Linked DNA regions of Danio rerio. The protein of the gene in region 6 purifies or fractionates together with the protein of the main gene of each other region. This does not show direct contact. Links are inferred from orthologs where the notes say so. Each region holds a gene or a part of one and is shown on either strand. Other genes may lie near its edges. The genes, in order: ahdc1, pogzb, si:dkey-100n23.3, chaf1b, daxx, cbx5 and chd4b.

The links.
Region 1: the proteins of cbx5 (region 6) and ahdc1 purify together in Homo sapiens (affinity purification with mass spectrometry; 3 studies listed by BioGRID and IntAct, with this or other methods). This does not show direct contact. The link is inferred for Danio rerio from reciprocal best matches to the Homo sapiens genes CBX5 and AHDC1.
Region 2: the proteins of cbx5 (region 6) and pogzb purify together in Homo sapiens (affinity purification with mass spectrometry; 5 studies listed by BioGRID and IntAct, with this or other methods). This does not show direct contact. The link is inferred for Danio rerio from reciprocal best matches to the Homo sapiens genes CBX5 and POGZ.
Region 3: the proteins of cbx5 (region 6) and si:dkey-100n23.3 purify together in Homo sapiens (affinity purification with mass spectrometry; 3 studies listed by BioGRID and IntAct, with this or other methods). This does not show direct contact. The link is inferred for Danio rerio from reciprocal best matches to the Homo sapiens genes CBX5 and SENP7.
Region 4: the proteins of cbx5 (region 6) and chaf1b purify together in Homo sapiens (affinity purification with mass spectrometry; 8 studies listed by BioGRID and IntAct, with this or other methods). This does not show direct contact. The link is inferred for Danio rerio from reciprocal best matches to the Homo sapiens genes CBX5 and CHAF1B.
Region 5: the proteins of cbx5 (region 6) and daxx purify together in Homo sapiens (affinity purification with mass spectrometry; 3 studies listed by BioGRID and IntAct, with this or other methods). This does not show direct contact. The link is inferred for Danio rerio from reciprocal best matches to the Homo sapiens genes CBX5 and DAXX.
Region 7: the proteins of cbx5 (region 6) and chd4b purify together in Homo sapiens (affinity purification with mass spectrometry; 5 studies listed by BioGRID and IntAct, with this or other methods). This does not show direct contact. The link is inferred for Danio rerio from reciprocal best matches to the Homo sapiens genes CBX5 and CHD4.

What each region holds. Positions count from the first base shown.
Region 1 is NC_133194.1:46,323,709-46,327,850, forward strand, and holds part of ahdc1 (transcription factor Gibbin), read left to right. Parts: intron 1-842; 5' UTR 843-1,066; coding exon 1,067-4,142. UniProt on the Homo sapiens protein: Transcription factor required for the proper patterning of the epidermis, which plays a key role in early epithelial morphogenesis. Directly binds promoter and enhancer regions and acts by maintaining local enhancer-promoter chromatin architecture.
Region 2 is NC_133191.1:42,527,185-42,531,326, forward strand, and holds part of pogzb (uncharacterized protein LOC561483), read left to right. Parts: coding exon 1-84; intron 85-2,764; coding exon 2,765-2,944; intron 2,945-3,026; coding exon 3,027-3,130; intron 3,131-3,202; coding exon 3,203-3,486; intron 3,487-3,634; coding exon 3,635-3,789; intron 3,790-4,142. UniProt on the Homo sapiens protein: Plays a role in mitotic cell cycle progression and is involved in kinetochore assembly and mitotic sister chromatid cohesion.
Region 3 is NC_133184.1:31,919,514-31,924,267, forward strand, and holds the start of si:dkey-100n23.3 (sentrin-specific protease 7), read right to left. Parts: upstream 3,251-4,754; 5' UTR 3,125-3,250; intron 2,751-3,124; 5' UTR 2,658-2,750; intron 1,461-2,657; 5' UTR 1-1,460. Other genes in the region: si:dkey-100n23.5, read right to left, coding at 4,239-4,415, 4,549-4,690. UniProt on the Homo sapiens protein: Protease that acts as a positive regulator of the cGAS-STING pathway by catalyzing desumoylation of CGAS. Desumoylation of CGAS promotes DNA-binding activity of CGAS, subsequent oligomerization and activation.
Region 4 is NC_133184.1:32,226,066-32,230,207, forward strand, and holds part of chaf1b (chromatin assembly factor 1 subunit B), read right to left. Parts: intron 2,668-4,142; coding exon 2,564-2,667; intron 2,359-2,563; coding exon 2,262-2,358; intron 1,858-2,261; coding exon 1,773-1,857; coding exon of another isoform or gene 1,586-1,772; intron 703-1,585; coding exon of another isoform or gene 655-702; coding exon 561-654; intron 382-560; coding exon 312-381; intron 1-311. UniProt on the Homo sapiens protein: Acts as a component of the histone chaperone complex chromatin assembly factor 1 (CAF-1), which assembles histone octamers onto DNA during replication and repair.
Region 5 is NC_133194.1:8,084,401-8,089,130, forward strand, and holds the start of daxx (death domain-associated protein 6), read right to left. Parts: upstream 3,259-4,730; 5' UTR 3,257-3,258; coding exon of another isoform or gene 3,209-3,256; 5' UTR 3,193-3,208; exon of another isoform or gene 3,076-3,192; coding exon of another isoform or gene 3,001-3,075; intron 997-3,000; coding exon of another isoform or gene 928-996; intron 1-927. UniProt on the Homo sapiens protein: Transcription corepressor known to repress transcriptional potential of several sumoylated transcription factors. Down-regulates basal and activated transcription.
Region 6 is NC_133198.1:39,408,515-39,413,398, reverse strand, and holds the start of cbx5 (chromobox protein homolog 5), read left to right. Parts: upstream 1-1,753; 5' UTR 1,754-1,826; exon of another isoform or gene 1,827-2,253; intron 2,254-2,846; 5' UTR 2,847-2,921; intron 2,922-4,484; 5' UTR 4,485-4,560; coding exon 4,561-4,700; intron 4,701-4,884. UniProt on the Homo sapiens protein: Component of heterochromatin that recognizes and binds histone H3 tails methylated at 'Lys-9' (H3K9me), leading to epigenetic repression. In contrast, it is excluded from chromatin when 'Tyr-41' of histone H3 is phosphorylated (H3Y41ph).
Region 7 is NC_133191.1:34,973,814-34,977,955, forward strand, and holds part of chd4b (chromodomain-helicase-DNA-binding protein 4), read right to left. Parts: intron 3,617-4,142; coding exon 3,498-3,616; intron 3,375-3,497; coding exon 3,064-3,374; intron 2,957-3,063; coding exon 2,838-2,956; intron 2,182-2,837; coding exon 2,061-2,181; intron 1,955-2,060; coding exon 1,785-1,954; intron 1,632-1,784; coding exon 1,383-1,631; intron 99-1,382; coding exon 1-98. UniProt on the Homo sapiens protein: ATP-dependent chromatin-remodeling factor that binds and distorts nucleosomal DNA. Acts as a component of the histone deacetylase NuRD complex which participates in the remodeling of chromatin.

The DNA.
Region 1 (4,142 bases), on a different chromosome or scaffold from region 6:
AAAAAAAATAAACGGGGCGGCTAATAATTTTTGACTTCAACTGTACACACACACACACACACACACACACACACACACACACACACATACATACGTTCGTTTTTTTAAACAAAACTAAAAGTTTTAGTTTGACTTTAATTTCTATTGTCTATGCCAAGGGTGCCCAAACTGTTTCGTATAAAGGGCCTAAAACCAAATATCATTAGGAGCTGTGGGCTGAAGATAAATATACCAAACTATATTACATTAAAGTTGCCAAGGGTAATTTCCTAATTTATTAGAAAACAGTATTTTAAATCATATTAACTAATGCAGTATAACATTTAAAATGATATCTTATTGCAATAAAAGCATAAACAACCACATTTATAACAGTGGAGTGTAAAGCTAAATACACAAGTCAAGCAGAACCTGCCTTTGCCTTGATTTGTCCTCTATCTGTCGGGTGACAGTATGTATATTTAAACTACATCTGATTAATTGACATTGTTTTATTGAATCATTTCAGCAAGCTTTTGACAATAAAACAAACAAACAAAAGGTTTAGATTTGAAATCACAATCTCTAAACCATCCCCATCATTCTTCCTCTCTTTTCAGATGGCATGGTGGGCCAAATTAAAGGTTACCATGGGATAGCTTTTGTCAACTGGCCCTAGTTTGGGCATCCCTGGTCTATGCAATGAGATTTAAGTTCATTTTTACTATTTAGTAATTACTTTTTGATCAACTAAATTGATTACTATTTAGACAAATTAATTAGAGAAGTTATATTTTTGAAGTAACTTAACCAACATTGCTTAGCAATTCATGAACATGTCCTTTTGTCTCCTTTTTCCATAGGAAAGAACTGCCTATTGTCTGCACCCCTGAAAACTGAGGACCCAAGCCTGATGCTCAGATTAATTCTGCTCAAGAATATCATAGTGAGAGGAGAGAGATTACAAACTTACATGCTGAACTGGACCTAGCTTACAGTTAAACTCAGCCCGGAACCATCGCTGATACGGAAATACAGAATATCACACATATAAATACGGAAATCCTGATCTGCGATTTTGGGTGTAATGAGCCGTCTGTCAGGTCGTCTGCGCTCTGGAGGTGTTCGCTTGACTTGTGAGGCACTGCCAGAAAAGGACTGCAATGATGATGAGGGACCCTCTCTATGGGAGGGGGATGCAGAGCCCGAGGCCACATCCATGGGACCCAGCGATGCTAATCCAGCCAGCGCACTACATTACAACTTTTATTCACCTCCCTCTTTAGCTAATGGCCTGCGGAACCATGAGGAGCAGCTCCGACGTAGAGCAAGGAGACGCAGACCGACAGAATACGTGGAGCAAATACACACACAAGAACAAACGCGCATTCAGCAAAACACACAACCACAGATGCACTCACTCACACAACCAAGCACACACCTGCAGCCTCATACACACATTCCGGTGGATGCACATTTGTGGGTGGACACGAACACGCTAACACATAAGCACTCGCAAAAAGGCATGTGCACACCTACTAGCGCCTCACTTATGGAGCTGGATCCCTCCCTTATCCCAGAAGATTTATCTTTACCTTCTAAGACTGAAGTGCATAGTGTACAGGTTCAGCCTGCCCCTTTGTTACACACCACCCTGGACACAAACACTTTGACACCTCCACAGTACAACCCTTCCTCCTTACCCAAGGAGGAACACAATTCGTGTAAGCCAGAAATGGACGACAGCACTGGCCTCGAGCATATAAAAGGCCAAGCCGCTGCCATGACCTCTGTGGAGGCTGAAAGGAAGTATACACTGCGCAGCTCTGGTCGACCACGTTTTCCCTGCCATCTTCGAAAATCATCCCGCTTACGCAGAGCTCCAGAAGATCACATGTTCAAACGGGAACTGGACCAAAAGGACGAAGAAGAAGAGGAGAATATAGTGTGGAGAACAGAGGATATCAGTCAAATAGTGGAACATCTGCCAGAGGTGTGTGCTGCTGAATCCTCTTTTGAGGTTTTACCACCAACAGATACATCGGTAGACATTACACCAAATCACAGCATGATAACATCAGAGGCAGAGGGCAGTGTTACTCAATCAGTTAGAGGGAAGCGGCAGGGACGTTATATAGGTGTGAAAAGGATTGTGGTAAAAGTAGCCAGAATACCTGTTCACATGAGCCGACGTCAAAAAAGCTACAAGATCTCATCCCTGGAGCCTGTGAGTGCTCCACCCCGTGGAGAAGGGGTCACAACTGGAGAAGGGCCTGAGGGGGGTGTAGGGAGTGAGCCAGTATCTAACGTGCCCCGAGAGCCCACAGCACTTCTTCGCATGAAAAACAATGGAAAGAGTGTGATGGTAATGTTTCCGCCAGGAGAGCTTCCTGTGATCTTGAAGCGACGCAGGGGACGTCCTCCTAAACAGGCTTTACCTGGACAACCTGACATGCATGAAACTAGAGTCGGAGCGGCCAATGCCGCAGAGCCTAAAAAAATCAGGAGGCGGCGAACTGTGAAGCTGCCATCTCCGCAGCCCTCGTATGTTAATGACACCAATGATGTTAAAGTAGAATATGCAGATGTCCTCTCCAAACTGGCCTTTTTGAACAGACAACCACCCAGCACAGGCCGTTGCTCCCCTCCACGCTGCTGGACCCCAACTGAGCCTGAGACTTTTAACATACCACCAGAAAATCCATCCCTTTCTACTCTTTTGCACCGCCTCACAGGCTTCCGCAGGAGAGGCGGCCGAGCGGGCTGCATGGGGAGTAGAGGAGGGGGAGCAGCGGGAGCATCCAGTTCCTTTAAAAGGTCATTCAGTGACTTTTTTGAAACAATTGGCAAAAAGAGGAAAGTCCCTGCATCTGAACCAGGAACCCCTCGAAAAAGAGGCAAGGGGGCTGCTGGGGGAATAAATAGAGCAGCTTTAGCTGACTCTGCACAAGGTGAGAAAGTTAGAAAACGCCGGCCACGGAAGAATGGGGCTTTAAAAAATGGTCCTGGTGTCCAGGAGCAAGACTGGCAAAATGAGAACAGTAGCTGGATAGGGAAAGGAGATATTCCTGAGAAAGCAGGTAGTTATCAGAGTCCATGTTCCCCTCGTGGAAGCTTTCAAAGCAGCGACGGTACTAAGGGTGGCATGTACCACAGCCCAGGTATGAGAGGAGTGGGCAGTGGAGAAGAGTCTCAGGGTCTGTTTGCAGGATATTTTCGCTCTCTACTTGACTCTGATGACTCCTCTGATCTACTAGACATCTCTATGTCCAGCCCTGCTGGACGACAGGAAAGTCGTAAGCTTACACCAGGATATGAGGGTGGCAGCCCGGGTGCTGCTCATCGTTGGTCTCCTGCCTTTCCGAAAAGAAGTCCTAAAGGAGCAGCTTGTCTTGGGGATGGGGCACAATTATCTTCACCCCAAACTCAAGGCAGCTCGACAACTAAATCCTCATATTCGTATAGTGTCTCACAGACTTCTCCCACCCCATCTTTCCCTAAATCCCCTGCACTCTTGCTTTCCCGTTCACCCAGCTCTCCACATCCATCAGGAGGTTTTCCTCAATATCCGCCAAATTATAGTGCAGGGGTTCCTCAAGGTGGAAGCATTTATCCCCTCCCTCAACAGCAGCAACAACAGCAAAGGCCAAGTGACTGTAGCTTTACATATGGCACAAAAACTCCCTCTGTTCCCTCTGCACAGTGTCAGATGAGCTATTCCAACTACCAGGGCTCTGCCAAGCGCAATTATAGCAGCTATCCAGGCCCACCCCATTCAACCACACAGCGAGGAGAATCTGGCCCAACATCGCCAGGTGGAAGTTATATGTCAATGTCAAAGTCTAGCCCTTATTCCTTATCCTCTTCTCCGCCTGAGGGTTGCAGACAATACACAGCTCAGTGGGGATACAGGCAAGGAGGAAACAACTGGGGTGGTGATGCATATGGTAGTCATCAGTTCCATGGTTACTCTGAATATGGAGTAGCTGGAACTGGATCAGAATCCAAAGACATTCTGGACATCTCAAACTACACACCCCAAAAAGCCAAACAGAGACCCTGCATTGACACACTCTCTGAATCCTCCTCAGACTCCTCGCACACTGGAGGAGGAGGAGGAGGAGCGAGCGTTGTGGGGGCAGCATTTCGCCCAAGGGATGTTC
Region 2 (4,142 bases), on a different chromosome or scaffold from region 6:
CGGTCACCCCAACAGCTGCCAGTTCTCTACCCATCGTATCTTCTACAACCATTACTCAGCCTACCAGGACCACTACTAAAATAGGTAAGAATAAGAATTTAATTGAACTTTTTAAAGTTAGATTTTTAATGCCTGATTCAAACTATATTGTTTTCTATCTATGTAATAATTCCTGTTATTAATTAGTTATTTATTTTTATTTTCATTCAGAAGACAGAACTAGTGACTGGCTTCAAAAAACAAGAGCCAGAGAAGGCTAATAAAACAACATGTTAACTATTTTAACTAGTCAGTTTAACTAGTTTATTATTCTTGTCAGAAAAAAACTTTTCAAAGAATTTAATCAAACTCAATTGAAATCGAATTGTCTCTTTCATTTTGTCATGTTTATGGAAGCTGTGTGTGAAAGAGCTTCTTTGTTTCTATTGGTCAGCATCACAGATGTGACAGAAACGGTTATGAAGGATCTTAAAAAAAAACTTATCAGTCTTTTTGTCACTATGTTGTAAAGCATCTCAGATGTTGTCCAAAAGGTTGCACATGATGAAATTCGGCGAAATTCAGATTGAGGGCAGGAAGTGGTTCTTCTACATAGGAATCGCTATCAAAACATCACAATATTTCTGTTTTATGTTGTTTATAAAGGTTTAAATCAGCAAAATAAAAAAATGCAGAGCAGCTTTTATAGACTTCTAAAAGTTTTTACTCATAAAGGGGGCAAAGTTCAAGAAACTGGCTGAAAAAGGCGGCATGTTTTTAATACATCTGTGTGTACAAACTTTTTTTTGAATGCGATAATTCGTTTGACAGCACCAATGAAGATTATATACAGGCCCAACTATATGTATAAATATATTTGACAAAATCCAGGAGAATATAAACAACGTACCCTGCCTTGTAATCGCTGCAATAAAATCTCTGTCTTGATTTGAATTGTCTTTACTGGCGTTTTGGTGGAATATACAAGTGTAATGTCAACATCGAGATGCGCAGCAGCTGTGAAGTTCATTCCCTCTTACAAAAGTAAATAAATAATAATGCAGACTATGCATCCACGCTATTGTATGCTTTCACCCTTTATTTAATGATGTCTGGAAGATATCCGCATCGGGAAAAACGTTATAGTAATTTATAATAAACATGTTTTTGAGCCACTTTGTGAAGTGTATAATGTGTACAACTCTGCAATTGAATGTTACAGAATACTGTAGTGTAGTAAACTAATAAACTGTAATAAATAACATTAGTGTAAACTGTAGTGCATGCTGATGGTTTATTATAGTGAAGAAAAATGAAGCCTGTTGAATAATTAGTTTATTACTACAGTTGTGTTGTACCACAGCAACAATATAATCACTACGACAGTTCAAGTCTAGTAATTATCTATAGGATGCTTCCTAACACTTTTGTATTTACTAAAGTATTTTTCATGTAAAGTAACTACCTCAATGACAGGCAAATATATTTTAGTTCAGTAGATAACTCAGCCTTCTTCATGATATTAAGATCATGCCCAACAAATGTGATTATTTTCTATTTATGTCTCTTTTAAAACTCGCAAAACTATGGACTTTCCTACCTGTCTCCCATTCAGTTTTTTACTTCCTGCCCTTCATCTGAATTTTGCGCGTCACCAGAACCACGTGATTGAAAACAACCTATATGATGCGCTGTTTTGGCACCCGATGTCATTTATGAATCACCATCATCAGATTGATTGTGCTAAAAACATGGTAAAGGACATTTATTGTGTAGTCTGAACTAGGGTTGCACGGTTTACCGGTGCTATGGTAGTATCGTGATATTACGGCTCCAAAATACTGGCAGTGCCACTGTAGTTTGTAAACGGTAGTATCGTCATTAACGGTCCATCAGCAATACATAATGTTGCATGTGGAAAAGTCACTAAAATGCTTACAAGTTTGTGAAACAATAGACCATTTTATTTGAATAGTCTGTGGAGCCCTTTAAGGTTGCAAACTGTGTAGAATTCAAGCATTTTATGGTAGCCTATTACATGTTTTCAGATCAAATCTGAATCAGTTCATTTCTGTTCCTGTCAATATGATTTTGTAGCTACAACAACTGCGACAATATCCTAAAAAGAGCAACTCGCAAAGTAAAAATTTGAATGACTAAACTAGATCTACTACTAAATTTTGACCACTTCATAAAACCTAGTTTGGTTGGAATAATGCTAATTTTATTATTAATGCAAATTTGATTTGGTATAATTTGTATCTTTACTTTAATGTACTTACTTTAATTTTATTTTAGTGTATTTTTTGTTAGTCAGTTATCTACAAAATAAACAGAAAGAACAAATACATTTAAGTTGAAGTGACATGCAAGTACTTTTTTCCAATAATAAAGGAATCATAATTCAATTCAAGTAGGCCTATTACAACATAAAATATAGTATTTCTGAAAATTGTTTTTATGTCATGAATTTGAGTTATGAATTACAGTATCGCAATACTACTTGGTATCACGATACTTCAGCTTGTATAGTATCGTAACATGAATTAATGGTATTGCGACAACCCTAGTCTGAACCAGATATAAGAGACATATCCGGTAAATTAAATTAAATCATTTGAAATAAAGTTTTGTAAATGCCTGGCATTCTTCTACAAGATACAAATAAAGAAATCAAGTATTTAATAATTGTTTGCTACTATGTGTATTTTTCACAGTTGCTTGGTCAATCAGCATTCAGAATTACAATTATCTGTTTTAAAATTGAATTTATTTATATTTACAGTGACAATAAAGCAAGGAAATGGACCCCTAGACATGCAAAACCTAATGAATCTTGTGAAGTCTGTGAACCTTCCTGGTGGGGCTCAGGCGCAGACATTTGTAGTCATGAGCAATCAAAATACCAAAAATGGTCCTGTTGTTTCTTCTGCTGTTCCTATCATCTCACAAAATGTCATCCAAAGTAAGTTTGTTGTTCTGACTATTACATTGATTTCCTATTAGAGTAAAGCCATGCTGATAAATTCCAAATTATGTTTTTGCAGCGATCCCACTTCCAAATGCAACCTCATCAACAACCACCACTCATTTGTGTCCTCGTTGTGGAGCTCAGTTCAGAATGATTGAGGCTCTACGCGGTCATATGTGTGTAAGTACATACTTTGTGAGGAGACTGTAAATGTGTTTGGTCACCTAAAAAACGAATCCCTTTCTCTCTTAGTTTTGCTGCCCTGATCTGGTCCACATGACTGAAACAAGCAGTACCCCAACAGCTGTGAAACCCCCAGCAACACCACCTAAGAGTGCCTCTGTTGTGCCTAGTGCCAAGGTGGATAGCCCACCTAGCAAAACAGGAGATAGCCATCCCAGACTCGTCATGCTGGTTGATGATTTCTACTACGGCACATTTGAGGGAAATCGAGTCTATGTACCAATGGACAACTCAAAAGAACCATTATCATTCAGATGCCTGACCTGTAGCAAGAAACTAAAGAATAATATTAGGTACGATTATGGACTGATTTTAGAAGTCTTATTGTAAATATCTAGTTGAAAATGATAGGTTTTATTTTAAGTAATTTCCTAGTCTTTGTTTATTCTGTCTTTGATATGTTGGAACTGTGCCATTAGTGATCACTTGTTTTCTTTGAAGACTTATGAACCATATGAGGTACCATGTTGAACTGGATCAACAAAATGGGGAAATGGACAACCACACATCCTGTCAGCATTGTTTCCGTCGCTTTCCTACACCGTTTCGTCTGCAGTGCCACCTTGAGAGTGTCCATACCTCCATTGAATCATCTAGTAAGAACTATTTCTATTTTATTAATCTTTTTGTTTAAGGGTGCCACATACAGCATTTGTTTAATAAGTTAAATTGTTCTCTGATATATACATAGTAGGTTTATGGCTTTGGTATTTAAAAAAAAATCTCCAGAAACAGTTTTATAAGCACTTTTATTACTCCATAAAGTACCAACAGAATCAAAAGATCCATGATTTGACCATATATGGCTCGTGTGATGAATATTAATTACAGACACACAAAGAGCATTATCAAAGACAAATGTAAACCCTATCAGAGTAGCGTTAACCTATTTTGCTGACCAAATCTGTTGTGGATAAAGGCTAAATTCTAATTAAAGTTGACAAAAGAG
Region 3 (4,754 bases), on a different chromosome or scaffold from region 6:
TTTAGATAAATGGACAAGCTTTTGAGCAATTTATAACTACAAACTAAATGTTTTATTGACAATTTGTTTAAAGCGCTATTAAAAGAACAAACAAAATCGTCATTGGTTTTTCTGCAAATGTTTGTCCTGCTATGCTGTGTGATCATCACCTGGACACAATCAGTATTTATCTAAACCCAGCTTCTTTTCTGAATCAGGTTTATTGGTGTAAAACACAAAATGGAGTACATGTAAACTCACCAGCCACTTTATTAGGTACACCTCCCTAGTTCTACATGATCTGAAAGCCCTCATCTTGACTGCTTTTCAGCTTGCGAGACACAGGAAGATATTTTATTGTTGACCGTTGTGATGATGTCATATGTATAAAACAAGTGTTTGTAACTGATCAGAGAAAAGGACTTTCTATAGCAGGGGTTCCAAACTTTTCAGCCCACGACCCCAATATAAAAACGGCACACATATACCAATATGCCCAAGTCTATTAATCATTTAATTTTGAAGAATGCCACTCAGAGACCATCCTCCATGTTCAGTTGTGGCCTCTATTTATTTTTATTGCATATGAGTGTCGTAAAGTCACCAGAAAGTTGGTGCCATCAAATCAATGTGCTGCATCTGACGCTATTGCTGTGTCTTTAATATAACCGCAGGGGTTGCAAAAAATAGTTGAAAGGCTGATTGCTTTTTATTTCCAAGATATTTTTTATGATTATTATAAGCATTTTATTATTATTAACTATTTTGTAAAAAGCCAAGCGACCCCCCCCCCCGGGTAGTCCCGACTCCCACTTTGGGAACCACTGTTCTATAGTAACCCTGTCAAAATATACTGGATTTTCTTTTGTAATGGTAACCTCATGTTGATGAGTTGTGTAATACAAAGACAAAGTAGATTAAAGTAGAACCAAAGTTTCACCTTTTTATTTTTGCCATAACAAACATGATCTTATAAATAATGTCAGATTTAACAATTGGTTTTTACTCATTGTACAATCAGTTAGTTGATGAGTATAAACACAAAAGCTGCAGATAAACATCAGATCTGAACCGCCCCTGAGGCAGAGGTTGATGACCAGACCTTCACAAACTACAGCTAATGGAAAAAAGATGAAAAAAGAATAAAGTAATAAGAGTCGGCACATAAAAAATAAAAGGTCACGCAGAGAAAATCTGGTCTGTTGTCATATAATTGTTACTGCAGAATCTCTGAGACAAAACAAACTTAGATGGTCTTGTTGGAGCACCAGCATCTAAAACACAATATATGCTATTGTCTAGTGATGCTGTTTATTTAGTGGGGAGGCCACTATTGTGCTCAGATTTGTTTCTGCGTGACCTTTAACTTCATGAACCACATTTCTGTACAGCTGTCTCTGTCGGAGCAGATGACCCAGCAGCACCTTCAGGCTCTGGAGCTTCCATTAATGCAGCAGCTGATGCATTGCGCTCCTTCTTACCTGGAAACACAAGTCAGGCTTTAGTTTAAAACATGCTATGTGTACATTGTGAAATGAACATTCATGAACTCTGGTGTACTTTGTCTCATTCAGATAGGAGTATTGAGTGACTAAACCCTGATACTTTCATTCTACTGCTTTTCATAATGCTGAAATATGGAAACATTATTAAGCATGACATTCTTTTTTTGCCCTCCAAGTATGTAAACACATCCATCCACCATCCTCCCTGGCATCATCAAAAGCTTCTATGTGCAAACAGATTTTTTTTCTTATGATTTATACTACAATTCAGGTGTTCACACTTGGCTGATTATTTATAATAAGCTTGTTTGGCATGCTGTCCCAGGAGAGAGCCCTGAGCTCAACGGATCCTCGAGCACAGGGCTCTCTCCCGTTCGCAGGGCGGGAGGGGAGTTTGAGCTCAGGTAGACCTCAAAAACTCCGCACTGCTGATGTGACTAAAGGTGAACTGCTTTAAGAAGGAAATTTACTGACGCTGGGACCTAGACTATGGTGCCCATTCGGTTTATTAAGTTAACGTATGACGCATTTTTGTAGACGGTGGGAGGAAACACAAGGGAAACCCATGTGGACACGGAAAGAACATGCAAACTCCGCACAGAAGCATCACCCAGCCCGACGAAGACCAGTGCCAGTGGTGTTCTAGCTGTGGGGCAATAGTGCTAACTACTGGGCCGCCTTGCCGCCAAATCTAAGTAAATGGGGAAGAAGTGGAGGAAGGGGAGTTTCTTGTAGTTAAAGATGGTTGTGGAATGAAGACTGTGGTTATTTATAGAGCCTTAGGGGTAATCTGATAGGAAGATCATGTATTAGCTATTGCGGGACCGGCTGTGGTCAATCATAAGCATGTGATCCTCCTAAAAAAAGTTTATATATAAACATCAATAAATTTACAATTTTAATGTATGTTTCTGTTCTTTTACTGTAAATTGATAGTTACTATTAAAAATTTATAACTACTAAATAATTAGATTTTACTTTGTATTTTTATAATGTAATATATTTAAAGTGTGATGACGTACTCCAAACTGACTTTGACAAGTATCTACTTATTTATAGTAAATATTTTGGGCAACAATCTGGTTCTACAGTATGCCCTTAAAACAGTGCAAAACGTACATAACAATAATGGTAATCCAATGTATGGTTTGTCTGAATGTGAACAAAACTCACCTTTAGCCAGACTACATGGTGTGAGCACAGGCTCTTCTTTCTGCTCCCCCTCTTTTAGGGCAGAGCTGATCTTGCGCACCACATAGATACTGGCTGTAGAAGAAACATTACAGTGCTATTAAGTAATGTTAAGTCAACACATTGATAAGCTATACAAAACACAAATAACACCTCATTGTATCGTCTCTGCAGCTGTATTTTACTTTATACGAAAGCTTTCATGATGGTTTCAGATCATGCTATACTTTCGAAATGTAAAAGTATCGAAGCGTAAGCTGGTAGAAATACACATAAATGATATAGCGCTGTACCTGTAATGCAACATTTACAACAAAAAAGAAATGTTTACCATACTAAAACTTAACATTTGTACAGTAACGTTATATGCTTCGTAAACAGGAAGTAAATCTTTTGAATCTTTTGTTGTTTTCCTGGTAAAGATTTACAACAAAACAAAGAAGACTTACCTTTTATCAAAAGTCATACCATGGTGAAGAGAAAGTACAATTTTTACTGTATCCGTTACTTTCTCAGCAGTTTTTCTTGAAACGCGTTCAGGGGTTGTTGCTGTTGCGGAAGCGCCCTGCCTCTTCAAGTATATGCGTGCCCAGCGGCTGTTATGAAAATCTGTTACGTATCGTCATTGTTGCGTTTCTCATCATTACAACGCACTTCTCACGGATTGGTTGATCGTCAGTTATGATGAGCTGTTGACCAATCGGCATTAAACGTGCCAGCTGACACGACGACATAACAAAGCTAATCAGGAAAGGACATCAACGTGATATACTTTACTTTTTGTACTAGTTTCACTCAGTTGAACACTTTATCAGTTGAATACTCTTTCGTAAATACATGGTTTGTATAAAATAAAACTAAAGAAGTATAAAACATTCTCTCCTGACAAATTATTCACACATCTGTCCACTCGGTGTCAGCATTGCATACAGCGGTTTCGTAATTCTAATTTACACAACACAGACAATGTAAGTTTATGTCACTGGTTTATTTCGAGAAGCTTTCACAACCCTTTTGTAAAGCAGTTCTTACTCAGGCTTTCTCGTAAATCATCCTGATTTAACATCTAAGAGGATTATATCTAATTTACTTAATGTTAATTAGCTGATTAACTGAAGTCAATACCTCATTCTATTATACAACATGACACAAACACAGTATAAATGTTAATAGATTTATATATAAACTTTGTTGCAAACAATACAAAAATATAGCATACATTTTCATAAATATGATAATAAAACATGCTCATTGTTCTCAAAGCATATCCTAAGTCTGAGATATTCAGCTGAATGAAATAGAAAAAGCAGTCTTTGATTCGATTTTATACACAACGGAACACGTTAAGGCAGTAAACAGCTTAAATTGCTTTGCCTCATTAATACAGTACAAATGCTATGATGCTACCCGTCATTAAAGGCAAAAAAAGTCTTTTTAATCAACAACTTTTTTCTGTTTTCCAACTATAGTAAAAAGTGTCAATACAAAAGCTTGATAAACAAACACTGAATGAAATTCTTCAAAGGTGGAGTGTGTGAAAATATGCACAAATAAGCCACTTCTCTAAACATTCTCCCATGATGCCCTGTCTTTTAAGGCCATATCCGGACTGTAGAAGAGGACATTGCCGTCTTCCTCGTCTGAATCGGAGTTCGCATCGAGCTCATGTGTGTATCTTACATTTACAGCATGGTACTCTTCAATCCTTGTGCTGTCACACAACCGAGACTGAATCGCCATCTGAGCAAATAAACATGTTACATGAACAACAGATTAAAATCAGGTAGTGCAGATGTTCTGATAGCCCAGTAACCATGATATGTAAGGTGAGCAATCACAGCCATTGGTTAAAAGTAGTAAAAGTGAGCCCTACCTTTATTCCTGTTACACTCATTTGACTCCAGGTGTCTTTACCGAAGACGAGAGCATTCGCAAGCCCATGCAACGGTGCACTAAGCACATGCAGTAACGTCAGAGAAAACACTGGATCCTTTGGGTAAGCAGCATTATGAAGTCTGCAGAAATATACATACAGATTAGGGTCGCACAATGTACAGAACAATATTTGTTATCATATTG
Region 4 (4,142 bases), on a different chromosome or scaffold from region 6:
AGAGCAATTTTACTTCAAGATTACAATGTCAAAGTAGTTCTAAGGCTTTAAATAAGATTGGTAAAATCAAATTTTGATAGCACTTGAAATTTTATAATTAATCAAAAGAAAATTTGGGTCAAGGAAAAAAAAATTGAATTAAAAAACAATTGATTAAAAAAAAAAAACATCATGTTAGCACAACCATGATAAAGGCAATAAAAAAATCTATACGTTGATGCATTAGTTTATAGTGTCAAAGATTAAATATTATCCATCCTATAGATTATTACACGGATTTACCACAGTACAAACAGATTTAGAGCACAAACCTCTTAAAGCTTTTTCTAGAGAACACATATGTTGTGTTTGTGACATTCTCTCCAGCCTCAACACACCCAGCTACAAAATAAGAAAAATCAAAAGATATGACTAAACTACGCAAGGCATGAACAAGAAAGTAAGCCCTTTGGTAAAATACACTGCACAATGTATTAAATAAGTCAACATAAAATGCATGCACGTAAACATTTACTGTATACAGACATGTAAAAGTGTATTTAAAAAGTGTAAAGGTGTACCTGGCGCCAGGAGGAATGAGCCATCTGGTGTGAAAGTGAGACGTCTGAAAAACGATCTCATGCTGTCATCATGAAACATTCTGTAGTTCTTCACCTGAACAAAAGCAAATAAATCTAAATATAAAAAAATATTGTGTATATACTTTTAAAATAAATTATATTCAATATATAAAACATTCTACAAATGCCAGCTTAAAACAATAAATGCAAAACAACAACAAGCAAACAAAAACAAAAAGACACACACATCACCTAAATTGGTCTCACAGTTCAGTTTCTTTATGATTATCGTGTCATTGATTCGGTTCAATTTGTTATCTTGGTGCATTGACGATGCTTTCTATCCACAATAATACATTTTTTTCTTCACAACACAAGAATTCAAAAATTTGTAAATATATTTATTATATTTAAGCAGTCAGATATATTAACTGTACCTTTAATTTTACCTGCCCAAAGAAAACACTCTTTTTGAATGGTTTAAACAAAACTTAAACACAGGTACAATGACAGAAGACAACAGAAGATAACTAGACAGTAAAGTTCGTCGAGACAAACTTTGAGGCTGGCTTGACAAAGCCTGTTGGTAATAGTTTATTTAGTTTAAAAACAGTTTGAAAAAGTATAAGTAGCATGTTATTAGCATGATTCTAGCATGAATTAGCATGATTCTAGCATGGATTAGCATGTTATTAGCATGAGTGTAGTAAAAAGTTGCATGTTATTATCATGATTCTAGCAAGAATTAGCATGTTACTAGCATGATTCTAGAATAAATTAGCATGTCACTAGCATGATTCTAGTATGAATTAGCATGCTACTAGCATTATTCTAGTATAAATTAGCATGTTACTAGCATGTCTCTAGTATGAATTAGCATGTTACTAACATGATTCTAGCATGAATTAGCATGTTACTAGTATGATTCTAGCATGAATTAGCATGTTACTAGCATGATTCTAGCATGCATTAGCATGTTACTAGAATGATTCTAGTATGAATTAAAAAAAAAAAAAAAAAAACACTATTCCAGGCATCCACTGGAAAACTGTCTGTATAAAAACCCTACGTAATAGTAGTAGTGCATTCCAACAGAACATGCTTTCTAGACAGGAGTCTGACAAAACAGTTTCTGATTGGTTTTGGGAGAAGCTGAAATAAGGTGGAAGTTTTATTAAGAATAAAGAGCAACTGAGGATCACAGAAACACACCTCTCCATCTGCAGTAGCGGATGATGTCATCTTACTGATGCTGTAAGCTTTTTTTCTGTTGTGAGCACTGTACACACGCATCACCCTAAAACACAGATTTACATGTGGTCAATACGCAAAACAGCAAACCGGTGAAAGTGTTAAAGATTATATGACTATAATGAGCCTTATCTAATGAATATGACGAGTTTAGATGCAAAAACATCCAAGTGCCAGGTGATTTTTTTTTCTAACCAAGTAGCTTTCCCAGGCTCCTGTGTGCAGGTTCAGTAATTTCATTTTTTATAGAAAAGAATACTTTTTTTTGCTTGTGAAATTACTAAGTAAATGCTAATGAGAAAATGCTAATGTTGAAATATTTCAGATGACACTTTTCACATCTAAACTCGTTATGTCTTTAAAACACTATGTCTACAATGATATCAATATTAATCAATATATTTAAAAATAAATAAAAAATTTATTAAATAAATAAATAAACATGCTAACCTGTCACAGCTTAATGTGCTGATGTACTGTCCAAGTGGGTCCCACGCTACTCCTTGCACATAACTCTTATGATCATTAAAGATGCACATCTTCTGACCTGTAAACAAATTAGGGATTGTATTCAATTACCATAAAACAGCATAAGGTTTAGCTTGAAAACAAAACAAAAACAACAACATTAACACAATACAAAATTTCAAAAGTGTCTTATCCTCATTTAGGAAACACTCCTATTAAAGCAAGAAAAAAAAGAAAAGAAAAAAAAAAAGCACAGGTTCTTTAATCTGCTTTTGGCTTCATACCCTTGTTGACGTCCCACATGATGGCAGTGTTGTCCACAGAGCCTGAAGCCATGAAATTCCCATCACTTGTCCATGAGATATCATATACATCCTCAATATGTCCCCTAACAAACACATACAATTGTGAGCCTTCACATAAGTTTCACAAAAAGAAAATAACTTGCAATAAACCTAAAAAGTTGATTCTGTAACGTGACATGCATCTAAAAAATCCTGAAAAGATTAACATACAAACAAAACAATAAGTAGTACAGGCAAAGCATGACACTTTCATCAGATATCATGCATCTGAACGTGCTCATTTGCAATTCACTTTCCATTTCAGCCACATATACATACAAATCACCCCCCCCATTTATTTGATTTATTTTTATACAGAGACTTTGTACAGCATGACATGTTGTGCCAGAGTTAGCTATAAAACTTTACATCTGTAGTCCTTGGATAAATACAGTTGAAGTCAGAATTATCGGCCCCCTTTGATTTATTTTAAAATATTTCCCAAATGATGTTTAACAAAGCATTAAAAATTTTCATAGTATGTCTGATAATATTGTTTCTACTTGCGAAAGTCGTATTTGTTTTATTTCGGCTAGAATAAAAGCTGTTTTTAACTTTTTAAAATCCATTTTAAGGTCAAAATTATTAGCCCCTTTAATCTATATATTTTTCTGGATAATCTACAGAATAAACCCTTGTTATACAATGACTTGCCTAATTACCCTAACCTGCCTAGTTAACCTTATTAACCTATTTAAGCCTTTAAATGTCACTTTAAGCTGTATAGAAGTGTCTTGAAGAATATCTAGTCAAATACTACTTACTGTCATCATGGCAAAAATAAAATAAATTAGTTATTAGAGATGAGTTTTTAAACCATTATGTTTAGAAATGTGTTGAACAAATCTTCTCTCTGTTAAACATAAATTAAGGGAAACAATAAAAAAGGGGGGGAGGGGGGTTAATAATTCTGACTTCAACTGTAAAAAATGTTTTTCAAAGTTGTCCTAGGACAAAAATGGGTGTTGTCCTACAGTTTTAGGACAACTTCGATAAAAGGTGATTATTCGCTTCAAATGGTGAATACAGTAAATATATATTTGTGTGTGGTGTGGAATGTTACATTATAGGTCATTTTTTTTCTAGCCTGAAGTCAATTGTTACATTTTCAGATTCACAAATGCTGCAACTTGCTCCATTTTATGAATGTTCGCTGTAATTTTCATCCATGCATTTAGGGTAGGACTCTCTTCTGATGATTTTTTTTTTCTTTTTAACAGACACCAACAGTATATTTGTACACTTTTCCCTCTTTTAACCTTTCTTGGGGTATATAAAAAATACTACAAAATGGTATGGCAGATTTAAAGATAATTTGTAAACCATTGTATATATTTTTCCAATAGACCTTAATAACAGAGCATTCCCAGAAAATGTGATTTTAGTGTTTCTATCTTGTTTTCTCCAGCATACAAACAAATTACCAGACATATCAGCTCTTTGGTTTTTGTTTTTAATCTTAGTCATCCAACCTTGGCTGACTGAACAAAGAAAATTGCCTGTAGAAGATTTCCACACT
Region 5 (4,730 bases), on a different chromosome or scaffold from region 6:
TAACACTATATAGTGTTCAATGTATAAAAAAATAAATAAACAAATAAATGAATCGTTGTGAAAGCTTCAAACTTAATAACGTCTTAGTTTAAATTTCCTTGAAATCCTAGTCACAGGTCTTAAAAAAAAAAAACACATCCAAAAACAATCTTTCACAGTTAGGGTTTAGTTTTATTCACAATTAATTATACTCCACAATTAAAATCTCAACTCAACATTGGAGATCCTGCGATGTGACTATTGCAGATTCATACATTGCAATACTGATGCTGAAACAATATATTCTTCAGCCCTAATCATAACTATATATAAAAATAAAAATAATTACACAACATTTTATTCATGTTTTAATCTTAAAATGATTTTTAAAAATGAAGAATATTTCAGATTACCTAAATATGAAATTGTATAATATAATTGTATTAATATATATTTGTAACAGCAAAAAGCTTGTCCTGTTCATCGAAATGTATCTTTTTAATTACTAAAATGTAATTCAACCATTAAAACTGAAAACGTTTTTAAATTAAAATGGGAAAAAAGACATTTTGAGTTATAAAATAGGGGATTTCTGGGCAATGTTTTTTTTCCTTTAAAAAAAAATATTCAGTTTTGATGGCCAAATAAGCTTTCAGTAATCAAAAGTTTGTAACAGTTTCACTTTACTCCAATGAAAAAGGAATGTAAAGGTTAAAATGAAAAGGAGTTATATGGCCTTAATATGAACAACATTTAAATGTCAAATCAATTTTTAAGTGAAACTGAAACTAGCAGGATGTAAGAAATGTACAAGGGACAAGGTGATATTTTTGGGTGTATTTTACAGAACAGCATATCCAAGAGCATGGTTTATCTATCATGACATCAACACAATAGGTATGCGTTTTAAATATTTAATATTTATGTATTCTGCTTGTCTGTACATACTTGAGCACTGAGCATTGAATTGATCAAGACAGTCAAAATCCAAACTGGTGTTTCAAAATCAGCATTTACCTGGAAAACAATAATATCAACAATGTCATTTTTGGGACAAACGCTTAAACGCATAACCCTTTAACTCCCCAACCAAGAATAGTTTTGGAATTCCATTTCTTAACTCCCAATGTCGATAGTTAACACGTTTAATGAATTTTTGTCAACACATCCCATAATTTCTAAAATATCAACCTCTACCAAATGGTTAATATGTTGGTTTATTTACAGTAAACGTACCTGGAATAAATACATATACTGTAATATGAAAAATCTGAAAACATGAACTGTATAAGACCAATGTATTAAAAAATAAATAAAAAATTCAAAATAAAACATTTTTGAACACTAAATCATCTTTACTTTTTGAAGTATGTCATAAATTACCTCAGATTCTACTTTAATACGATTTCTGGTTGAGTTTGCTTTACAATAAAACCAAAATCAAATGTAGACGTGCAACAGGATTATATTTGCTTAATTTTTTTTTGTAAACCAACAATGCCGTGTGTGTAACCATTATTTAAATTGAGGTAAAGCTGGTGATATATTTGCACATTCATTCATTTAACGATCTCTAAATTGTTTACCACACTACTTTTAATATTAGGTCTGAAATTGCATTTACGTATGACTTCAAAACAACATAAGCACCATTTTATTGACTGTGAACAATGTTCTACATTGATAGTCATCGGCTGCTAATATAATTTCTCCATTTAGAATTTGCAAATACTTTTATGAGATTATATTAAGGAGAAAGTCCAAATGTGGAAATAGAAAAACTTCATCTACAGCTGAGGTCAGAATAATTAGCCCCCCTTTGATATATATATATATATATATATATATATATATATATATATATATATATATATATATATATTTTTTTTTTTTTTTTTTTTTTAATATATTTCCCAAATTATGTTTAACAGAGCAAGGAAATTTTCACAGTATGCCAGATAATACTTTTTCTTCAGGAGAAAGTCTTATTTGTTTTATTTCGGCTAGCATAAAAGCAGTTATCTAGTCAAATAATATTTACTGTCATCATGGCAAAGATAAAATAAATCAGTTATTAGAAATGTGTTATTAAAACTATTATGATTAGAAATGTGTTGAAAAAACCTGCTCTCTGTTAAACAGAAATTGGAGGAAAAAAATAAACAGAGGACTAATAATTTAGGGGGGCTAATAATTCTGACTTAAACTGTATATAATTTCTGTCAAATTTGTAATTAACATTAATTACTGTAAAATGAACAAGCTCTAATTCCATAGATGAAGTGAACAATATCACATTAAGTGTTTTCTCCCCATTGAAATCCAAGTAAGGAATAAGATAAGCTTAACACGGCTTAATGTTCCTTAACAATAAGCAGTTAGGCTTTTTTTCTCATAACAGACTTAAATAGGGGAGAAAACACTTAATGTGAAATTATTCACTCTGTTCACTTTATCTATGGAATAGAGTTTATTTGACGTAAATTATGACAGATATGTGGGTTTCTCTGGTTGTTGTTGTTGTTCTGATATACTAAGCCACGTTTAAAATGTCCCTATTTTTCTGAATTGAAGAGAAAACATTACATAGTTAAACGAAATACTATAATTAAATATCTAACCAGAATTTTAAAGACAGGAATCTTAAAATCGTAGCCAAATGCTACTTCATATTGCTAGCTTTCGATCATGTGATAATGTGACACAACTATGATGATTCACACACAACAAACTCGGTTAACTAGTACTTATGATTCGTCACCATCTTGATAAAAAGAATTATCAGACATTAAACAAAACCACACAAGACGTATAACATGTATCTATATCCAATAATATGCCTCCACATCCGTCTCCTATAACACAATAACAATACGAGTGAATTTGAGCGGTAACTATGTTTATGATGTCTTTTGACTGACTTAATACCATATCAACCAGATTTAACTGGATGTGTCAATGAGATTTTCACACTGTTTACACTTAACATAAATATAAATGTAATAATTTCAGTTATTTTGCCTTTTGGTTTGAAGACTGTAGCTCTTTAATTCGGACATGCCATACAGACTCCTTCCGTTTATTTGTTAAAAGCATTAAAACGACGATAGCTAAGGTGTAATTTCATATTTGTCAGTTTCCTCACAACCTTCGCAAACGCTTCGTGATTATGTTTAAAATAAAGTCTTATTCGAAGTCGATCAATAATAGACAAAAAACACGAACTTACGCGCTCGGATCCTGAAACTCGGCGCTGGATCTTTGTACAGCTCAACATGCGGCGCGCTGGTTCGCTGACGGTCAGTATACTGATCGCTGATTGGGTGAATGCTTTGCTTTTCTTCTGCGATCTGTTTGCTACGCTAATCATTTAGATGCGTATCAGCGCCTCGTAGGGAACTGGAGACTCTAGAATAAACTGATTGTACAGTTCTTCAGATAACAATAACATGATGTGGTAATGAAGCAAATTTAATTTCTTAGCGCTAGCAGGTGCTCATCTAGTGTTTTGCTTCTCCAGAAACAAAACTGATACTTATCAGGGAGCCACTAGTAGTGTGAGGGTTGAATTCTACAATTATTATGTGCTGGCTACCTGAGAGTAAAAGAAAATAAAGAAAACAGGCAATAAAAATCTCTATTATTTTTCCAAACACCAGACCAGAGGCCTACATTTTGAAGAAAATTAAATAAAATAACAAATTAAATAAATAAGCTGAATTATTAATTGTTAACTGTATTAACCCTTTGATGCACAAGCTATAAAATAGATATAGAAAAAATAAGCAGAGACAGGTCACTTTAGACCCATTTAGTGCATCAAAGGGTTAATAATGAGTTGATTATTAATTAGAAATAATTAATCAATTTATAGAGCAATGTTTTTCAAAGATTTATTTTATATAAAGTAGGCCTTAATAGCATATCATAAAAAGCACAATCAACAGATTAACCTTTTAAAAATGTATTTAAAATACATTTCAAAATTAAATAAAAATACAAAATCCCAAGGGTGACACAGTGACCACAGAGTGGTGGAAAGAGTACTGAAAAATCATAAGTAAAAGTACCATTACTTGCCTAAAAATGTAGAGCAAGTAGAGTAAAAGTATAGCTGTTGTAAATATTACTTAAAGTATGAGTAAAAAGTACCTCCTATATGCAATTTGACAATAAAAGACAAGACAAAGAAAAAATAAAGTAGTAACTGCAGGTTGAAGGAAAGTGGTGGCGTAAACGTACAGATAAAGCACTAAACATGTACTCAAGGGAAAGTGAAAGTACACATTTATAAAACTACTTAGTAAATTACAATTCCTGAGAAAAAATACTCAAATACAATAATTTGAGTATTTGTAGTTAGTTACTTTACACCACTAGTGCTTAGCACTGTCGCCTCACAGCAAGAAGGTTGAGTGCCAGCTGGGTCAGTTGACATTTCCAAAGATAACATGCTCCAGTTTCTCACATAGTCCAAAGACATTCGCTATAGGTGAATTGAATAAACTAAATTGGCTGTAGTGTATGTGTGTGAATAAGTGTATGGGTGGTTCCCAGTACTGGGTTGCATCTAGAAGGGCATCCCCTGTGTAAAACATATGCTAGATAAGTTCCTGGTTCATTCCACTGTGGCGACCCCTGATGAATAAAAGGACTAAACCGAAGGAAAATGGATGAATAAATGTTTTGGAGGCATGTTTTGGAGTTCAAAGTCTAATGTAAGAAATGTTTTATTACTAAGTGCATGCATG
Region 6 (4,884 bases):
ATCAAATGTGACGAAGGCAAAGCCTCTTTTATTTCCGGTCTTGTGGTCAACCATTATCTCAACAACCTCAATCTTTCCAAACTGATCGAAGTAGTCGCGTAGATGGTTCTCCTCTGTATCATCCTTGATGCCTCCCACGAAAATCTTCTTCACAGTTGTGTGAGCAAATGGTTTGCTGGAATCCTGTAACCCATACATAATTAGACATCTAAATTCAAGCCTTAATTTCCTTAAATTTTATTACAAAGTTAACCTCACCTCTCTAGACACGGCTCGTTTGGGCTCTACAAGTCTACCATCGACCTTGTGAGGACGTGCATCCATAGAGGCATTGACTTCATCCACACTGGAGTAAGTAACAAACCCAAAGCCCCTGGAGCGCTTTGTGTTTGGATCTTTCATCACCTAAATGAAAACAGAAACATTGATTAAAACACCTAACGTTGTGGCATAAAATAAATCTGAAATTTATGTTGCAATGCATTAATAAATTTCAAATAGCCTTAAAATATTAAAAGGAACTTACCACACAATCTGTTAAGGTGCCCCATTGTTCAAAGTGTGCCCTTAAACTATCATCTGTGGTTTCAAAGCTGAGCCCTCCAATGAAGAGCTTCCGCAGCTGCTCTGGCTCACGTGGCTGGCCCTGGAAATAACAACCGATTTCGGTTTAGAATCACAGCAGCAATGTGCATAGTGTTTATTATCGGTAACGGAGATCAAACCAAGGATTTACTGGAACAAAAAGCGTCGTGAATCCATACGGTAACGCACTCTATTTGGGGGGAGGTGAACGAAACATCCGCCATGTTAGTGCAGGACTATACGTCCAATTTTAAACCGCGCACTCCCTCCAACAAAACACATGAGGTTGTAAATGCGTGCAAACATGGCTCGAAACAACGACTGAATAGTTATAAAACAAATAAATACCGATTTTGCAAAACACGACCTTCGATGAAGCCATGCGGCCTAAATTATGTGTGCACATTACAGGAGTTAAAATGGCGGCTCGAACACGCTTACATTAACAAAGAACCACAAATGCGGTGCACGCTGAATTATATAACATCAAGGGCGCTACGACTACATGCTTGGCGCATTATATATATATATTCATTCGAAAGCGCTATATTAATAATAACGCCAACTTACCTCTTTGGACATCCTACCGACTATTTCTGTCCGTGCTACGCCACACGCTTGTCGGTGAGACACGCACTGAGAAGAAGGGAGATACCATAAATAGCTTGGATGAATTCAGTCCCCTCCCACCGGGAACGATGATTGGTTCAGGCTTCCCGCTAATGCTTTTGTTTGGCGCTTTAAAGACATCTGATTGGATGACACTCAAGTCAATCCATAGAAGAGGCTAGTGCTTAAAAAATTCTAAAATATTTTATTCAGAAAGCTGAAGAATCTTTTTTATGAAACACAAAAAGTAGTCTTTATTGTATGGTGGGTTAAAAGATTCAGACTATAAGTTCCTTCATATTACTTCATATTACATACACCACTTTCGCATGTACACTCGTGCCTATTATTCATTTTTTAAATAGTATTATTGCTTAACAATAATAAATAAATCTGAAATGTTCTTCGAAGTGTGTGGATTTGGTTTCAGTGTGACGCGTGCGCATCCCATTGTATGCGCCGAGGCCGTTTTTGGCGCGAGAGCTGCTCGCTGAGGAGCACGCTGATTGGCTGAACGCGCCGCTGGACGGATGCATGCGCGAGAGGCAGCAAACTCTGTGTGCAAGGAAAAAGCCGCCGCCGCCTCAGCCTCATTATCCAGCACGAATAGAGAAACGTCGAAAAATATCTCAGTAAGTATGACATAATCAGTCACATTAATGTACAAATGTGTCATTGTGGATTCGCTTTGCATTGGGAGCGAGCAGCGCTGTCAATGCCACGTTTAAAACGTGATAGGATCAGGTGAAATCTGTTCTGCTCGGCCCGCGCTGTTGCTAAGCAAAGGCTCGGTGCGTTAGCGAGCACGACGATAGCACTCAAATAAATGCGAAAACTCGTGTAAACGACTCGTTTGCAGCTGTTAAACGGTGAAAATCGTGGAAAGAAGTAGCGCGTGTGTGCTAATGACGCTAAATTAGCCTGCTATCTTGTGCCTAAACATCGGGGATTCTTGTTTATTGTTTTTTTCGCAGGCGATGGTGACCTGCTAAGCTTGCTTATAGTTCGTCATATATCAAAAACAGCATTGTGAAATACATGTACTTATTTCTCAAACACGTAAGTTTTATATATAGTTTTCTAGCAGAATGAGCTTTTAGCGACGCAAACAGTAGCAATCAATGATCCTTCTCTTGCTAAATGTTAGCATTGCAGCTAGCACTGCACATAAATACGTTCACGATTTGTTTGTATGTTGTGTATATTGAAATATAATTATTGGAAATTAGATTGCATATGGTAGGACAAGCTGTGCAGGTCTGCTAGGTGTTTTCACACAGTTTGGCCTTGCATGCTTGCTAAAATTTTTGATGACATTAAGATAAGAACACATGGCCGATTTATCGCATTCCTGGAGCTAGAGTTGTTAAATGTGTCTTGTAGGCAAATGCTGACATTAGTGCAATGCGTTTATGTTAGATTTAACAATGAAAAAAGTGTCCCACTTTTACTAGTTGTTTCGTAAACAATCTGTTGTTGTTATTATTGTAGAGTGTACGTTTAAAATAATTTAAATCGAAGTCTAATAGGTCTTTAGTGCGTGTATATTTCCAAAGAAATATGTAGGATACGTTTATTAGAGTTGAGTTTAAGATCAGAGTTTTATATCAATACAATTTTTTTTTGTGTTTAAATCAACTTTATTTGTTTAGGGGAGCTCTGAATGCTGTAATCCAGGTCTCATCTCTGCTCTTTAGGAGGTCACGCCCAACAATAGAAGACTGTAGGTGAGTGCAGGAAAAGCAAATGTTGACTTTTGTCATTGCTGTTAGAGTAATAAGTTTTCCTCTAACCAGTAAGATTTTGACCCTACTGCTTACTGTTTGTTGTGATCACGTTATGCATAATTAATGTAGTCGTTTTTGCTGGAAGTAGAGTTTACATGATATAGACAGCATTCAATACTGTCTTGTAGAATGTAGCTTATACTAGGCATGGGGCGATAAGCGTTTTCAAGGTATACCACAATTTGGAAAAGTCGAGGTTTTAAAACCACCAAAATATAATGCTATATCGTTCCTATGGTATATGTAAGTTTTTTTTAATCTAATTTTTAACGACAACATTATCTTCAGCAGAAAATATATCCTTAAATGCCGTTTTAAATTATAGAGAAATCTAAATGAAGACAGCAGAAGTCAATGATTTGTTTTAATTCTTTAGCCTAACATGATTACTTTCCCAAAAAATGTTATGCATCTCAAAATAAAATATTTTGTATTCAAAGGGAAAAAGTGTTTGTTTTTTTTAAACCAGACAATTAAAAAGAATATATTGTAGAGCAGTGATCACAATACTGTGATATTTTTATCCAAGACGTTCAGTTTTACAAAAGAAACTAGTGCTAAGTAAGCATTGTTTTGTGTTCTTGGACACTGAGTAATTAATAAAAAAAAATGGTTAGTATAATTGAGGTGACAAATATATAAGTAAAGCTAAGAAAACAAGATACAGTAGAAATAAAGCTTTTATTTGCTTTTAAAAATCAGTTGTGAAGTTAATAAATTTACAATTTGTCTTGAAACTTGATGTTAATTTTGTGCAGATTTAAAATATAAATAATATATGGTTAGTCTTTTTGTCCAAATCTCTATTTCTTGTTACTGTTTTTTTTTTTATATAAAATAACATTATAATTAGATGTGTAGATATTTGGCAAAACCTATAGTCCATAGATCATCAGGTGTTTGTTTCGCATGTTGTTCAATGCATTTACTTCAGTTCATATCAGGAACAGTGTTTTAATTAATATGGTCAAATACAGATTTTCATTAGTCTTATTTGCAAAATTTATTTTTTATATAACTTTTTTCATTGTATAGTAAATATTGTGGCTGGGCGATTTATGGGCCTAAAATCTAAATCTCAATTAATTGAACATTTTAACTCTATTACAATTAATTAATTAATGAATGATTATTTTCCCTCGTAGTTCTCTGACAAGTTTTATATGCTGTCTCAAGGCATCTCTGGCGCAGTTTCCAATCATTGTCAGTGTAGTGCAAAGTAAGGCTTAAGAATGAGTCCATCGTCTTACTTGACCAAGGATCAGTTGTGGCTCAAAGTTGCCGCAAAAGTAGAAATCGGCCACAGCCTTTAACAGAGCGGGGTTACGTGACTTGTAGGGAAAGTAATTGAAAAAAAATTGTCCTGGGAAAATTAGATTGATTATAGTTTTATTTTGATTACTTTTCAATTAATTGCCCAGCCCTAGTAAATAACATAATAATAAAAATAATTTGATTGTCATCAATACAAATATGTAGTTATGTAATTATTTTTTATTTCAGTTCAACCACTTTCCTCCCCAGACCAGGGAGCCACACAGGTCAAATTTGCTTGTAGTAAAGACTTTCAGAATCAGCCATGGGAAAGAAGAGCCAGAACCGTGAAGATGATGAAGCTGCTTCCTCAGATGAGGAAGAGTACGTTGTGGAGAAGGTCTTGGACAGGAGAGTTGTGAAGGGGCGTGTGGAGTATTTCCTCAAATGGAAAGGCTTTACAGAGTAAGTGCTCATTGCATTTTGCATAATCCAGTACTGTCTGAGCGATAGTTTTCATGTCTCAGGACCCCTGGTATGTGTTTCAGCATGTCTTAAAATGCATGAAAAGAGACTCAGTTCAGATACAATGAAAATGCTCTTAATTTAAATACTAATGATCTGGCTTACTTACTGGGGTTTGCTTGCA
Region 7 (4,142 bases), on a different chromosome or scaffold from region 6:
GCTGGAAGGTCTGCAGGGCGGGGCACGGGCATGGGTGGAGGTGCTTCACCCCAGCGCCAGGTCAGAACTTTCTGGACTTTGCCCTTCAGTGGAGGACTCTGAGAAATCATATAGAAGCATTATATTCTGAATGCTCTGCAGAACTGAACTATACAATGCATGTTCATTTAGATAAATTATGTTCAATAAAATGTATACATTTTCAAACATGCTGCAATTTAATATTTCCAGGCAGCTGATATAATGCAATTAATAATACGCAAACAAAACATGCACAAAGACATACATACACTTTATTGATGGAGAATGAGAGCAGTGTTTCTGCAAGTTTTACCAAGTTAAATTTAAGAATTTTTAAGACCATTATGAAGGAAATTTTACACATATACAGGGCTAAACACTAAGGATGGAATGGTTGAGTTCAAAAAAAAAAAAAAAAAAAAAAAAAAAAAAAAAAAAAAAAAAAGATTTTAACTTACCTCATGAAAACTATTTAAATATTTAGTTGTTTCTTAACAACATTTTGTAAATAGGACTAGTTAAATGATCTAATTTAAATATGTACTTGTTAAAATAAAAACAACTTTAATAAACTAAATTTAGGTTATGCACAACAATGTCTAAAATACATGGCGAACTTTTACACAAATGTTTTTGCAAGGGAGACAATTTCACAATACTGGTAAATATTTAATATATTTAGCTTTTGTTCAAAATTTTATTGAGATGGATTATTGGCGATTGGTCCGCCCGATTGGGTAACTTCACATAAACAGGGCAAAATGAAGATGTCTTTACAATGCTTAAAAACCTACAACATACAATTTGTCAATTTAAAAACTTAAGGTCTAAAATTTTGAAAATTAAGACCCTGCAGACACCCTGTACTTCTTTTTTCACTCAGAGAGTTTCAGTTTTACTTTAAAAAAATTACTCATGCTTTATTTATAAATGCTTTTGCATTTGTAGCAAATGTTGTTTATAATGAATCCCACTAACATATCTATTTAATATTTTATATTCCAGTTAAATGTTTCAATATTGTAACATTTTAAATATCTGTTGTGGTAAGAAAAAGTTTGGCAATATTTGTTTAACTTTATTGCTTAGTTATTATTAAATTATTATTAGAAAATGTGACTCAAACACTTGAATGCAACTTATGAACAACTTGAAGTTTTCCCCACAACCCAGCTTTAACATTTAAAGTCAGATATGACCAGACACAATTTTAGACAATTTTAGATATGATCAGACATTTTTTCCAGAAAAATACTGTAGTTTAATTCTTTAAAGTTAATTTGGAATTTGCAATTATTAAGGGTAAATTCTAAACATACCGGCACCTCTAAAAAAAAATCTAAATTCAAAAACTCTCTCACCAGGCAGCGTGGGCAAATCCACTCTCCATTGGGGATGTCTGGCAGGGGCGGATTGAGACAGTGCAAGTGGTAGGACGAGGGACATGTGTCACAGCAAAGCAGCTCTCCTCCATCCTTGCACACACGGCAAAACTCCATATGGTGATCGTCCTCCTCCTCCACATCTCCATCATCCCTCCTTCCATCATCGTTCTCCTCCTCGCCCTCAGAACTCTCCTCGCGGGCCTCCCATTGAATGCCCTCCTTCTCCTGAGAGAGAGACATAAATAATGCATCATCAACAGAAACTTTAGTCATTAAATAACAATGGAATGTAGAAATATAGTGCGCATGCAAAGAATACAGATTTTACTCGATGACCCTAAAGCAGCTGAAGGAAAAGACATATTTGCATGAACATACGCAGTGGGGGCAGCTCCAGGTACCCTCTGGTGCCCTCTCCATGTCAGGATCCAGACAGACCATGTGATAGGCTCTGGGACAGGTGTCACACAGAATGATCTCACCGCCCTGCTGGCAAACCTCACAGTAATCCTGATGATCTGTTTCATAGCCGTCAGCATCCTCATCCACTGTGAGAGAGAAAGACGAATTATATCAATCAATATATACGGCTGTAAAGTTATCAATCTAGTATAGTAGTTTATTATAGTGTGTGAAATCTGTGTTTTGACTTACTTTTCTTCTTCTTTTTGGAGCTCTTGGCCTTCTTATTCTTGGAGCGGCTGCTTCGACTGTTGGATCCATCGCTTACAGAAAAACTGTCAAAATCGCTCTCGCCATCATCCTCCTCACCGCTCTAAATGAAGAAACCATGGGTAAGTGGTACAAAAAATGTTAGCCATAGAGAGAAGAAACAAATGCATGATTTAATACATGTTAACTGCCCTTCAGCAGAATTTACCATTAATAACTATGCAAAATGTATAACAATATCTATCAAATGTTATTTGAAATACGTTCCCTTGATGAACTTGCTTATAATAAATGTTGAAATTCTTTTATACATTTGATCCATTAATGAATCACTGCAAAAGTATTAATTGATAAAACTGTGTCAAAGTTGCCAATGTCATGCTTGGTTTAGAAGCTGCGCATCAATGGATTTGCTCTTCCGTGTTTGGACTTTCAGCAGTGACATTTAAAGCACACAGAACTGAACATCAACTTTAAAAACTGGACTGACAGTTTCAAGTTACTAGAACTTCTATGTTAAGCTGCTTTGACACAATCTACATTGTAAAATTGCTATAGAAATGAACATGAATTGAATTAAAAATATACCAATATAACATACTAAATAGTTTATACAATAATATTTTATTATATAAATAATAATTATATAACATTTATATCATATAATACTTTTTTTAAACTTTGATGATACTGTTTAACTCAGCAATAGTGCTAATTATGTTGCAGTAACAAAAGAATATACAGAGAAAATATACATACAGATGAACGCTTTCTCTTAAAATTGCCCAGTTTAATCTTGAGGGGTGCCACTTTCTTTGCTTTAGACTTTTTGTCCTGGGGCTTTGGGGTAGGCTTGGTCTTTCTACGTGCATTTGGGCCTGGAGCAAACACAAAGTAAAAAATAACATAATCACACTTTTGGCCTCAAAAATTATTCTGTGCTCTGTTCATCATTTATCCACATTCTCTGCTCTTCTCCTCTGACCTTTGCCCTCTTTGGTCTTGGCTTTCCGCAGTGGGACTGCTGGGGGCTGCTGGGGTGGGGGTGGGGCAGCGACAGGAGCTGCTGTTGTCGTGGGCGGGGCTGTGGCTAATGCCGGTCCTCCTCCTCCTCCTGCATCCACCTTGGTCACCATACTTTCCACTGCAGCAGCTACATTGGCAGCTGCCAGGGCTGCATTGGCACTCGCTGAGCCTCGCATTGGATTATTAGTGCTGAACTCCCGCCACTTAGCTCCCAAAACCATCATCATCTTTGACACAGCGATCTTAGGGTTCTTAGCAGCAATTAGAGGCCTAAACATGAGTGGAAAAAATAAGACATCTTAGATCAGTCACTACATAGCATATAGGATGGATGAGGCGATAATTGAAATGGGACAAAATAAAACATGAGATGTGGAAGAGGCACTGCTCTACCTGACAAACTGACTGAAAGCTTTGTAATTGGTGAGAGAGTTGTAGTCCTCCTGGGTAAAGGTGTAGTCGATGTCTTTCATTCCCCAGTCTGCTAATAGCTGAGAGGAAGATTTGGGCTCCTGTGAAAAAAAGGACAGAGGATGACAGCTAAACGCAACTATCCGAAGGTGAACAAATATAAATATCAATCATTTGACCAAAAACTTTAATGCAGAATGACATTAACTGACTAGTATACACTGCTACTCAATTGGGGTCAGTACAATTTTTAATATTCAGTACAGTGCTTAATGGCAAAGACTATAGATTACACAAGACATGTCACTCGTATCATTTTGAATGTGGAAAAGTGTAAAACCAATACTGTGAATAAAGTTGGCCTTTTAGCACAAGAGCCAATCATCGATGGCTATATGGTGAATAAAGCCCGCCTTCTAGTAGAGAAACCAATCATTGATCGCTATAGACTGATGATTTTCTGGGGGAGGGGCTCTGACCAGACATTTCTGCAGATTTTGTGTGATTCTAACGTTTAGAAATAAAAATTAAGACAATTGTTTAATTTTATTGAGGATTCCTAATATGAAATTCAATCATAAGCTTGGCAAGCAGTTTTGAAGAATTTGATGTTTTCCCATTCAAACA